2 linked regions of the Drosophila melanogaster genome follow. The protein of the gene in region 1 interacts with the protein of each later gene in a pairwise test. Each region holds a gene or a part of one and is shown in the gene's direction. Other genes may lie near its edges.

The links.
Region 2: the proteins of CG1137 (region 1) and RanBPM interact in a two-hybrid assay, tested with the Drosophila melanogaster proteins (one large-scale study listed by BioGRID).

The regions. Positions count from the first base shown.
Region 1 is NT_033777.3:6,557,880-6,562,114, reverse strand, and holds CG1137 (uncharacterized protein), read left to right. Parts: upstream 1-1,763; 5' UTR 1,764-1,889; coding exon 1,890-1,965; intron 1,966-2,210; coding exon 2,211-2,808; intron 2,809-2,867; coding exon 2,868-3,017; intron 3,018-3,084; coding exon 3,085-3,400; 3' UTR 3,401-3,497; downstream 3,498-4,235.
Region 2 is NT_033778.4:10,427,666-10,435,770, forward strand, and holds the start of RanBPM (Ran-binding protein M), read left to right. Parts: upstream 1-2,046; 5' UTR 2,047-2,118; intron 2,119-2,339; exon of another isoform or gene 2,340-2,408; intron 2,409-2,868; 5' UTR 2,869-2,920; coding exon 2,921-4,250; intron 4,251-5,373; coding exon 5,374-5,538; intron 5,539-5,606; coding exon of another isoform or gene 5,607-5,609; coding exon 5,610-5,800; intron 5,801-5,876; coding exon 5,877-6,058; intron 6,059-6,121; coding exon 6,122-6,234; intron 6,235-6,295; coding exon 6,296-6,447; intron 6,448-6,505; coding exon 6,506-6,708; intron 6,709-6,761; coding exon 6,762-6,925; intron 6,926-6,971; coding exon of another isoform or gene 6,972-6,980; coding exon 6,981-7,120; intron 7,121-7,252; coding exon 7,253-7,364; intron 7,365-7,420; coding exon 7,421-7,557; coding exon of another isoform or gene 7,558-8,058; 3' UTR 8,059-8,105. Other genes in the region: CG12896 (uncharacterized protein), read right to left, coding at 1-9, 72-154. UniProt on the Drosophila melanogaster protein: May be involved in JAK/STAT signaling. Isoform D is required for the proper arrangement of niche cells and is autonomously required for proper niche cell size, isoform C negatively regulates the adhesive properties of the niche.

The DNA.
Region 1 (4,235 bases):
TTAAGTTTATTTAGAAAAAACACTTGGTATTGAAGGTATACATATTTCAAAGCATACGTATTTAATTTGCCGATTTTTTTTATAAATGAAACTTAAGTGGTATATAGATTTTAAAATGCCTACGACTAAAAAATGTTTATCCAGCCTGAGGAATATTGTGTTTGATTTTCAAGTAAACCCTATAACTTTCTAGCTTTCTGTTCTTTTCTGATCGACACATATCAAACTTTGTTTCTATAGCACTTTTAATTAGTTTTTAAGAATTCCAAAGATTATTGACTTGGATAGAGACTTGCCTATATTTCTGAACATTCGTAAACTAAATTAAAGTTTTTCCAGGAATCTGGCATCCATCTCCTCCCCAAATTGTTTCGCAACATTTTTAATTAGTTTTTATCTCGCTCCATGTGCCGTTGCTGTCATCTGATGGATCTTTAGCATAAAGTGCAAATGTAATTCAATTTCGATTTCCCCAACGTACTGCTGCAGCTGACAGTTCAATTCCCGATACTTTTCTGGTTTTTTATTTGTGTTCGGGATGCAAGTGTCTCTGAAAGTTATTTGCTGTCGCTTGGCTCTTGTTTGCTGGTTGCTCACTGGTGGCGCGCCTTTTGCAAGGCAAATGAGCGCCGTGCCAAATGCCACGCCCCGAAACGCCCACGCCCCTCTACCCACTCCAAAAAAAAAAACAAAACAAAACGGGGGAAGGCTCTCAAACAATATCTGATAAGCTGCATCAAACATTTGCATACTTCCGGCAATTTGTTTTTGTGCGAGCCAAACGAATCGAGACAAATGCAATAAGCGCAGAGCAACAACAGCAGCTATGGAAAATGCGATAGAAAAAATGATAACTGCCAAGATTTTTCAATCAACGAAGAGATTATACACTTTCTTGCTCAAATGTAACTGCTATTTGTGACCAAAAATTACAGACAAAATCCAGAAATTTTATGATTATTCGAACGTTGAAGATTTTAGTTGTGGGAATTTCGACACTGTGGGCACTTCATGATGCACTATTTCCCCTAAAAGGGTATTCAAAGCACAAACAACTCAGGATGAAACCGAATTCACTGGCGCATACTGTCCGATTCGGTTTCGGATTCATATTCAGAGGCGGAGATGCAGGATGGTCGAGTAGTGCATACAAATTACGCCCCGAAACAGTGCCACGCCCCTAAAAACTCCCTCAATAACTCCGCCTAGAACACGTCCCCGGAAAACAGCCAGCCCCTCCCCCACGAATCGGTTTATTTAGGTGCCTCGCCTGTGACTCGCAGCAAGTTGTTTGCCATGTGCTGTGAGCTGAATGCGTCTTTACCAGCCAAAAATATTGTTAGCCATAAATTTTTGGCAACACAGCGGAACAGAGGAGCGCACAAAGAGCTGCAAAAAATGTGCATCCAACATCGAGCAGGAAGCGCTGCATTTGTAGTCACAAATTCCGGGGCATTTGTTTAGAAACTTTGTCCGCAGTCCGCGACTGAAACACGCCATGTAATGTCAACTTGATTCGGGTCCAAACAAGAGCTTCCACTTGAGGAAGTTTGCAGCTCAGCGGAGCGAACCCAGTGGCAGATAGATGTGTCGAGGATCCGCTTTTGTAAATATACGAATTTGTGTACATAAATTGGGCACATCGTTCAGGGGATCAAGGCAACAGGGCTAACTTCCATCACAGTGCAGTTCGAGTTTCAGCTCAGAGCAGGAACAAATTTACACCGACACACAAAACCACTGCTGTCAAAAAAAAAAATAATAAAATAAAGCGAGAAACAAATAAAAACAAGCTCTTTACAGTAAAGGCTGCTTTCGCAGCACCTTAATCAGAAAAAAAAATAAATGAATTATTCACAAAAGACTATTTAAAAACCACGAACAGCAAGATGAGTTTGACGGAGATGATGCGGGGCAAATCGATGCCAGCGGAAAAGAAGAATGACATCAAACTGGCCCAGCATGGTGAGGTGTTTAGAAATCTTAAGCAGACTTAACTAAATCTATTGTTCTAAATTAAAATAGCAAAATAGCTATTCTTCTGTGTTTATTACAACCATTTAAAAAGTCTGCTTAATTACAATATAAAAGAAGTGCGTTCAGACAAATACCTTTTATGTGCGTTTATAAGAAAACATTGTATCTTTAAATTTGGGACACAAAACACTTGTGTCAATGTTTAATCACATAATTACACCTTCTGCGCCTAGAATTTGCAACCGTGAGAATAGTGCAAATCGGATGTGTTTTAAATGTCCTGGCCGAGGCCATCGAACGGGTTAAGATCTCGCTAATCATGCCGAAACTGCTGGAACACCCCGCGCACATGGCTAAGATTCTTAATGGAACCAAGTACGAAAAGGCAGTTCACCTGGTGGAATCGTTTGTTCGTCGAAGGGAGTTCATTCTGCGGGAGAAACGTCCGCCCCTGATGGATCACGGCATTATCCAGATCATCGATTTCTTCCAGCGGAACAGCAGGATCTACCTTCTGTTTCCCAGCTACTACAACCACATGAGCGACAACGAGAAGAAGCTGCTGAACGCCTTCGAGATGCTCTATGATCTGGCCAAGGACCGCTTGTACAGGACGTCCACCGACGCCATCGCCCAGGAGCGCCAGCTGCATGCCATGTACAAGCAGAACGAGGTGGTCAAGGAGCAGGTGGAAGAGCTGCGCAAGAAGATCCTGGATCAGAAGGCGGCCATCAGGAAGAGCTTGGCTGATAAGGAGGCCTACCTGCAAAACTACGAGGACCTCCTCATGAAGAAGAAGAGGGAGAAGAACGAGCGAATCCAAAAGGAAATGTGAGTGATGCTCGTAGAAAAAATAAATGTTCCTTTAACTTATCAGTTTGTACTCTCAGCGATCGGTGCACTCGTCTGGTAAAGGCCAATAAAAAATTAAGTTTAGAGCGACAAGCTGATTTGGAAGAACAGCTGCAAAAAACGCGAAACAACTATAACTTAACCACAAAAAACTATTTAAAACAGGAAAAGGTGTTTCGAGAGGAAAAGTAAGTGAAACTGGATTTTTAGACCGACAATATTTAGATAACATCAACAATTGGCCAAAATCCTTAGAAACAAGCTGATTTTACAACTACAAGCCATTATCAAGAAATACGATCACAGCATTGGCGAAAAGATGATCGAGAACATGGAGCTCGCCGAAGAACACAAAAAGGCTAAGAAGGCCCTCGACGAATACATGATTGGGTTCCTGAAGGTTGAGCGGGTCTACAAGCAGATCGTCGTAAAGCGAGAGGAAGAGGAGGCCAGGCACCGCCAGCATCGTGTCCTGTTATTCGCCATGAACCGCGCAGCCATCAAGATCCAGAAATACTGGAGAAAGTGGAAGAAACACATGCGCAAGAAGAACAGGCGAAATAAGAACTGAAACCATTTTGAATAGCCAAAATTTTAAGTGGATACTAATTTTTGGTACTAATTGTAGAAAATAAAATTTTAGAATTATTTTTTTTGGACTCTACATGAAAGTATGTACATTTACCATGTGTCGACAACTGAAATAGCTGCTAAAATTCTGTTAATATGAAATATTCATCCTGTCACTAACTGCTTTCGACCAAGCTGCATTAGCCTATTAGAGGAAAACTAATTTCGCTTTTAATCTGCCGGCTGGCAAGCCACAAAGACACCTCGAACTTGCCCCATCTCTTCCACTATCTGCCCGCCATGGTGTGTCATTTGCATTTAAAATGTGTGAGAGAGGTTTCTATTTTAGCTGCCCTATATTCCACCTTTTTTCGGTGTGGAAAATGCATTGAAGGGGGATTTTTATCACAATGTGCAGCCGGAATGAGGGGACATTGTGTAATGCGATGGGGCTAAGTGCAGCCAAGTCAATGCCAAAACTGCCGGGCCAATACGGCAGGGAATTTTGTGGCTCATGGTGAAAGGGGGAAAAAAAGAGCGGGACAGCTGGACAACCCAAACGCCTGGTTAGTTTCGACCATCGAAACGAATGAACGAACACCACCGTATATGCAAATTACGCGCACTGCTCATGCCCTGTCATGAATTGTCACCCATTTTCCAACTGAGATGCTTCGACACGCGCAGGGTGGGTGGTGAAACCCCTAGCGGTAACGGGAAGGGTTGGGTAAATGGGGAATGGGTGTGGGAAATGTTCCTAACCAAGAGGTAGATAGACCGCAAAACAGCCAAAGGCCCGACCGGGTACAGTGGCAAGAGCACTCATTCGCCCCGTT
Region 2 (8,105 bases), on another chromosome or scaffold:
ACCACCCAGCTGGCGATCCGAAGGAGAATTGGTAAGATTCGATCAGAGAAAAAGGGTTTGATGGCACTTACGAGTTGCCCTGCCACTCGTGGAATTTAATGGGCCCCTTGGTTGTGTCGGCCTCGAAGTTAGGTACGGTCTGTCCCAAACGCATCTTGCTGTTTGATTTTTAGTTTCACTTGGAAAAAAACTTGTTAGTTGCTCAGCTGGTAGCTGTTATTAGCTCGCACACTTGTTGCTTACTGAATACTGACTGGGAGAGCTCGCTGTCTTTTATACCCGACTGGATCAATTTGATGAAAGGGGACCGATAGAGACAGAGAACGGGAGCTGGCTTATCGTATCATATATGTACATATGTATGTTTGTATGTATAGTACGTGGTGCTGCGGGTAGACTAACAAACAACTCAGTGATAATTGGGGACATTGTGAGGGGAAAGATGAGGCCTCGTACGGGGTCTCCATATTTGTGTGAACCTCAAGAGGGGCCTTAAAAAAACCTGTTTGGGGCGTCACACAAAAATGGACTCTGTGACGAACACATTTTAGATGTAACGCAAAATGAAGTACAGTTTCGCATATTTCTTTTAATTTAAACTTGTTCGAATAAATCAATCAGTCCAGAACCAATTCCTTCAGGATCTAGTATCAAAACAGCTGATTTGATGCAGTTGACGGTTTTGCCGGCTCCAAACATAAACAGAGAGCGAGAGCGCATTTAAATGTTAAATGGTGTTGGTAAACAGAGGCGAAGCACCAACACCTGCAAACATACAGCCACGCCGATAGGCGGATATTGAGAGCGAGAGAGCGGCGAGCAACGTGATGGTATTTGTGAGTGCCTGCAAAAATCGCACACTTCCATAGATCGCACGGCTCTCCCGTTCACGTACAGAAAACGAGCCTCTAATTGAAAGTGAAGAGCGAGTGAAATCGTGAGACTGTGTGCGTGGGTCTATCGAAAATTAGCACACCAGCATAGGTTTTCTCTCAGTAAGTCACACATAAAGATGGAATGGATTTGGGAAGTCGGATGGGCAGATCGCTCATTCAGAAGGCAAAAGACAGTACGCATGAAAGCAGCCCAAATAGGAATCATATGGTTAAAATTCAATATCTAGTCATAATGGATACCAAAAATGCAACAATTGATAAGTTTAATTAGAAGAGTTCCCTCCCAGTAGCTCGATCGTGTTTCATAAGTTACAAGTACAGTTTTTGTGCTAGTGTATAAAGTCTAATCAAGAATCCAGCAACATTCGTCTCTACACCAGACGTGTGGTAATTTTCCACTGTTTATTATCAGTTACGTGATAGGATTTCTATTCGGAAAGGAAGTAACTAAAATACAGAGTGAAGGTTGAGGCGAAACGAACAAGAACGATTAGAAGAGTGAGATAGAAAGTGTCAAAGCATTTGAGAGAAGCCGTAGAGCGAACCGGTAAATTCTGCAGCATCGATAGTCTGTCAATCGAATCGAATCTTTTGAATTTATGGCGGTTTTTTTTACCAGTGCAGCGATCTCTTAATTACATTCTGGGCAGAGTACTAGAAATCACTAAAGTTTTTTGCGCTGATGCATTTTTAAATCTGGTTTCAATGTAAAACGCGTATGTTTGACATTCGTCATACTTTTATACCATAGGCAGAAGTTTCTAAGTAATAATTGCCCTTAATATTCTTATCGGTATGGCGTAAAGTATGCGCTAAAAATAGATAATATGATCTTTTTTTATAATTTAAACCAATATTTAAAAGATTAAATTAGCATTAAAAAACATAACGAATTACGTAAGGTTTAATTTTACCCAAAAAATAAGATTGCTAGCAATAGTGCAATAATACCCTCCAAAAGTATTGTCAAGGGTTTTACCTAAAAACATTTTAAGATTTTAATGGCACTTTGGGAAGTGTGTTACTGCTTATCAAATTTTGAATTTAGGCGCCTAAAGAGATTTATTCGATAAGAATAATCGATAGCTGCCGAGCGCACTCTGATGTTGTCAGGTGTCGGAATAGATATCGATATCATCGAATGAACATCGGCTTTTGTTCCAGCTCTATAGCATAAAGTCAAAACTTCGTAGATTTAACAACTCATAGCAATCGTTTGAAGGTAAATATAAGGAAATATCAACTGTAGATCCGATCAACAGCATAGAATGACAGCCAAATCGAATTCATCAGCTAAATAAAACCCCAACAAAGATCATTTGCCCCAGCTAAAAAAAAATGATAATTTTCTTCTCTGCGTGTGGGAGCTGCGAGTGTGTGTGCTTGCTGCATGCATATATGCGTGTGTGCGAGAGGGAGAGAGTGCTGCCAGTGTGTGAGCTGGTGCTTGTTTGTGTGTGTGTGGACAGTGACTCGTTGGTTAGAAGGGAAAACAAAGAAAACTTCAGAAAAGTACGACGTAAAAAGGCATTTACAAATGTAGAATAATCAAAACTGACTTGCTAGCAATGTTAAAAAGTGCAGAAAGCATTGGCTAATATCGTTTGGCTATTGATTTTTTGCATTTTCGTGCATGCAATTTTGTAGCTGTAGTTGTTGCTGTTGTATTTTTTTGTGCTGCAGCTGCGCGTCGCAACTGTAAACTGCTGTTGCTGTTGTTGTTTGTATTTTGGGTCAGTTAACGAAAGAGAGTGCACGAGTGATTGAGAGAGTGCGAATGAGGTGAACGGTGTAACGGACAAAGGACATTGCATTTTGGAAGTTGTTTGTGTTTGCTAGCCTCCTTACCCCTCCCTTCGTCACTCCTCACGTATACACACACAGCATCTGCATATGCACTTCATCCGCTCTCTCTTGCTCGCTCGTTGCTGGCTCACTCTCTCTAATTCCTCGCTGAACGTCTCTCTCTCAGCCTCCTTTTGCAACCACAACAAGATAAACAACAACGACAACTCAACCATAACATGGAGAACGTCGAAGAGGCCCCGCCACTCTCTTCGGAGAGCAACAGCAATAGCAACAACAGCAGCGCCAGCAGCAGCTCTCACCAGCTCTCTCAATCGGGAGCCATGGGTGCCGAAATAGCCCCCTCTACGTCTCGGTCACACTCTCATTCGCCCACACCCTCGCCGCCCGTCCCCGCGTCCTCTCACGACCAACCCCATCCCGATCACCCTAGTCCCCCATTGAATGCATCTGAAACGGAAGCTCGCGAGAATTCACCACATGATCACTCACCCACTCCTACTTTCCACCAGACTGCACCGCCACCCACGACTTCATCGACGGCACCGCAGCGGGACGAGCGGGAGCAGCAGCAGCAGCAAGAGGCGCCACCATTGCAGCAGGATCAGCAGGAGAATTCGCCCGCGCAGGACCAGGAGCTGCACCCATTGCTGGATCAACAGAATCAAGAATATCCCGCAGTGCACCAAGATCAACAAGCGGAGCAAAACCAGGAGCTGCATCACATAGAGGGGCTTATTCGGCACCGAGAATCACAGAATCCGGAAGAGCATCCACCACAAGCATCGCTGGAAAACCGGGAGACATTAGGACGAGAAGATACCAACCAAGAACCGGATGAGCCGCAAGTTCGAGATCCCGAAATCGAACCAGAAGCCGAGCCACCGCCACCGCTGCTTCTCGAAGATCTGGACGAGCAGGACTCCGGATCGCAGGATCTTAACGAACAGCAGCCGCCACTGATTATAGACGCAAACGCTATAGCCGAGACCATAGACGCCAACGCCGTGGAGCGCATCGACGACTACGAAGACGACGACGAGGAGGTGGATGAAGAGGAGGAGGTGGTAGAGGACCGGGTCGACAGAGCCGGCGAAGTCGCTTCCGTTTCCGGTGCCCAGCGCCTGCACTCGGTGGCCGTTTTGCCGCGCTACTCCTCAGCCTCACGAGCCCCAAGGAGCAGCAACAATAACAACAACAATATCAGCAATCACAACAACAATAATAACAACAGCAACAGTAACAGCCTCTCGCGACGCACTCGTCACTTCTACAGCAACAACGGCAGTCACTTCAGCAACGACATGTTCCCCAGCCACAATCCCCGCAGCAGCACCCAGACATCATCGCCGCGGGTCGGTGGTCGCCGCCATCACTCGACCCCCGCCGCCAGCTCCAATTCGCCACAGCACCAGGGCGTGGATCCCCTAAGGCTGCTCTATCCCAATGTCAACGAGAGCGAGACTCCGCTGCCCAGGTGCTGGAGTCCCCATGACAAGTGCTTGTCCATCGGTTTGTCGCAGAACAACTTGAGGGTCACCTACAAGGGTGAGTAGGATTCGAACTTCTCTATAAATCAACTCTCCATTTCATACCATCTAAAATAGAAAGTAGGCAACGATCAGGCAACTATAAGATACAGATTTCTTAGGAGCTGTCATAGTTCAATTCTAAATCGGTTTCATATTGCCACTAATACGCACATTTCAATTTCGCAATGAAATGTAATAATTAAATATGCACTTACATAGATATAGTTACATAGATATGGAATAAATTGTAATAAGTTTGTCTACGCTGTAGCCAAGTATGAGTATCCAGGTGGTATAAGTGCCAGAGTTCATGGAGTTTATCTTTATTACAACGATTTGACTTTGTTCTTACATTTTCAAATTTGTATTGATCTAAAGCTAAAGAGACAGTATACAATATTTTAGCCCTTAAATCAAAACACCCGAATATAAGGCTAGCCCCTACTAAATTATTACTTGCATAGTTATTAATTGCATTATCGAAATTATTATTTATTCGAAATCCCATCCACAAAATCTAATATTTGTCTTGAAGGATGTAACTCAATGCAGTAGAAAGAAGAAGAGTCGTAGTGCAGCTGCAGTTTTCACTCTCTTTCGCTCTATCTCGCTCTGGCACACACACGCACAGGGCACAGACAGGTGCTCTCAGCTGTGCACTGGTGGTTTTTGTTTTTCATAACCCACTTCTCCCACGCTCATTCGCGTGGCTGTTAAACCGCTAACAGCAACAGCTGGCTTACCAGTGCGACATAACATGTAAAATGCGCGTAAAATGTATAAGTTATTACGTAGATGGTGCGTTGCATAGATGTAAAATGTATATTTAGGTTACTTTAATTTCAGGTAAAATATATAACTCAATAATTCGAAATATTTCATTTAAATTGATAAAATGTCTCATTATTGTTTCGACGTAGACTTAGGCCAAAAATCAGTTTTTTTATTTAGAGTATCAATTTTATTATTTTTATTGTCCAGATAACCAACTCATTCATTTATGTTAAGAACATATCCCATGTACTAAGTTCGAGAGTAGGAAGTTCATACCGAATGGATAAAAGAATATTGTCTTACTGCAATGCTATAGCATATAAAAATTGAGATCTGTCAAATACTGAAACCTCATGACTTTTTAGGTGTGGGCAAGCAGCACAGTGATGCCGCCTCAGTGCGCACTGCCTATCCGATCCCGTCCTCCTGCGGACTGTACTACTTCGAGGTGCGGATAATCTCCAAGGGACGCAACGGCTACATGGGCATTGGCCTAACTGCCCAGCAGTTCCGTATGAACCGCCTGCCAGGTTTGTGTTCCATTGTGCTGCTCGGCGAGATGTGCCCATGATTCCTAATAACCGCACCCCCCCTCAAGTAGGTTGGGACAAACAGTCGTACGGGTACCACGGCGACGATGGCAACTCGTTTAGCTCCTCGGGAAATGGCCAAACCTACGGCCCCACTTTTACCACCGGCGATGTGATTGGATGCTGCGTCAACTTTGTGAACAACACGTGCTTCTACACCAAGAACGGAGTGGATCTGGGCATCGCATTTAGGGATTTGCCGGTGCGTATTCAATGGAATTTTAAAACTACTTTATCTTCTAACTTTATGTTTGTTAATCTTTTTTTTTTTTGTTTAGACTAAGCTTTATCCCACTGTGGGCCTACAGACGCCTGGCGAGGAAGTGGATGCCAACTTTGGTCAGGAACCATTCAAGTTCGACAAGATCGTCGATATGATGAAGGAGATGCGCTCCAATGTGCTCCGCAAGATCGATCGATATCCACATCTGCTGGAGACCCCAGAAAACCTGATGAATCGGTGCGTTTTTGTTAAATGTGTTTAAAAATCATGGCTTAACCCAATGACTTCTAAATTGCTTAGCCTGGTTTCCACTTATTTGGTGCATAATGCGTTCAGCAAAACCGCCGAGGCCTTCAATGGCTACACAAATCAGACTTTCAACGAGGACTTGGCATCGATCAAGACACGTCAAAGTTCGTATATTTGCCATTTGAAATGACAACACACATGCCAACTTTAAATCCACTCTTCCAGAGATCATTAAGCTTATACTGACTGGCAAAATGAGCCAGGCCATCGAACATACACTACGTTCTTTCCCCGGACTCCTGGAAAATAATAAAAACCTCTGGTTCGCATTGAAGTGCCGCCAGTTCATTGAGATGATCAATGGAGCTGACATTGAGGTGGGTTTTTAAACATTACATGCGGAAGATAAGTAGAACCGGATGGTTTGTCTTACAGAACGTGAACAACAAAGTCACCGCCACCACACAGACCATGCCCACAAACCAGACGTCAGTGATACAGTCCACCAAGACGTTCAAGCACAGCAAGAGCGGCAGTGGAAATGGCAACGTCAACATAAATCAGACTCAACAACAGAACAACACTGCGATTCCAGCTGTGATAAAGCCACAAGGCGGCGATAGGCCAGATATAAAAAAGTAAGTCAAATGTAATACTTACTCCGATCTTTAATCACAACGTACTGTTCAAGCATGTTGGTTGACGACAACTCCAACAAGTGCGTGGAGCACGACAGCAACAGCATGGACGTAGAAATGGAGCCCTGCCAGAGTCACTCCAACGGCGGCGACTCGAGCTCCAATGGCAATGCCAGCGCAGTGCGCAACTCTCTAGATGCCATCGACGAGGAAATGGGTATGTATCTATTGGCGGCATTTCCGGGAAGATCCGTAATCCCTAGCACTTGCAGATGTAGATGTTTCCCCCTCATCGCGTAACTGTGGTCGTGTGATCGAGAAGATCCTTGAGTTCGGCAAGGAACTGTCCAGCATGGGCCAGCAGCTGGAGAAGGAGAACCTAATGACTGAAGAGGAGCGTCAAATGTTGGAGGTAAACTATAAAAATGTATAAACAATAGAAACTGGTATCTTGCAGACTAAGCACTCTTTGTATTTGAAAAATAACTTCAATAAGAATATGATTATCCGTAATCGAGAGATATTCAATTTATGGTTGTTACAGGATGCATTTAGTCTGATTGCCTACTCTAATCCTTGGTCCAGTCCGCTGGGCTGGTTGCTGTGTCCCTCGCGACGTGAGAGTGTTTCCACCACACTCAACTCGGCCATATTGGGTAAGTCTTTAAACACTTGTCTCGAAACGAAGTTACTAATTACTATGATTATGCAGAGTCCCTGAACTTCGAGCGTCGTCCGCCGCTGGAATACCTGGTGGCTCACGCCTCGGAGCTGATCAAGGTGATCGGACAGCACTCGCTGGGCGAGGACGCTTTCATTACCATCGACGATGTGTTCCCGCAAAATTGACCCAGTTCCCCGACGCTGCTGAAGATGTTCGAGACCACGCTGACCCTGCCGCGAACCAGTGTGCTTACGGAACCGTTGGGCAGCGCCGGAACCGGATCTGGGCCCTCCACATCAACGGCTGCCGTGGCAGTTCAGACCAGCAAACGACGCCGAAGGCGGCGTAACAAACGTCGCCGCAAATCCTCCCTGTCCAGCAATACCGATGCCCCGTCGTCGCGGACCTACGATCCCGTGATGACGGGCAGTACGCTCCGGTCGGCAGCTGTGGCATCGGTGGGCGGGGGCACGGGCACGGGACCAGTGCGTCGGGGTCGTCGCAGGAGCGGGGTCAGCTCATCTTCATCGGCGGCAGCGGCTGCAGCAGCGGCAGCGGAGGAGGAGGCGGAAGAAGCGGAAGCGGAGGCGGCTCGCCAGGAGGAGGAGGAAGCGGAAATCTTGAGCGGAAACAGCAGCCCATCGATGTTCGTCGATCCGCAGGACTTCTTCGAGACACTGGACTAAATTTAGATTATTTACAATTTGCAGTAGGTTAAATTTTGTTGTTACTT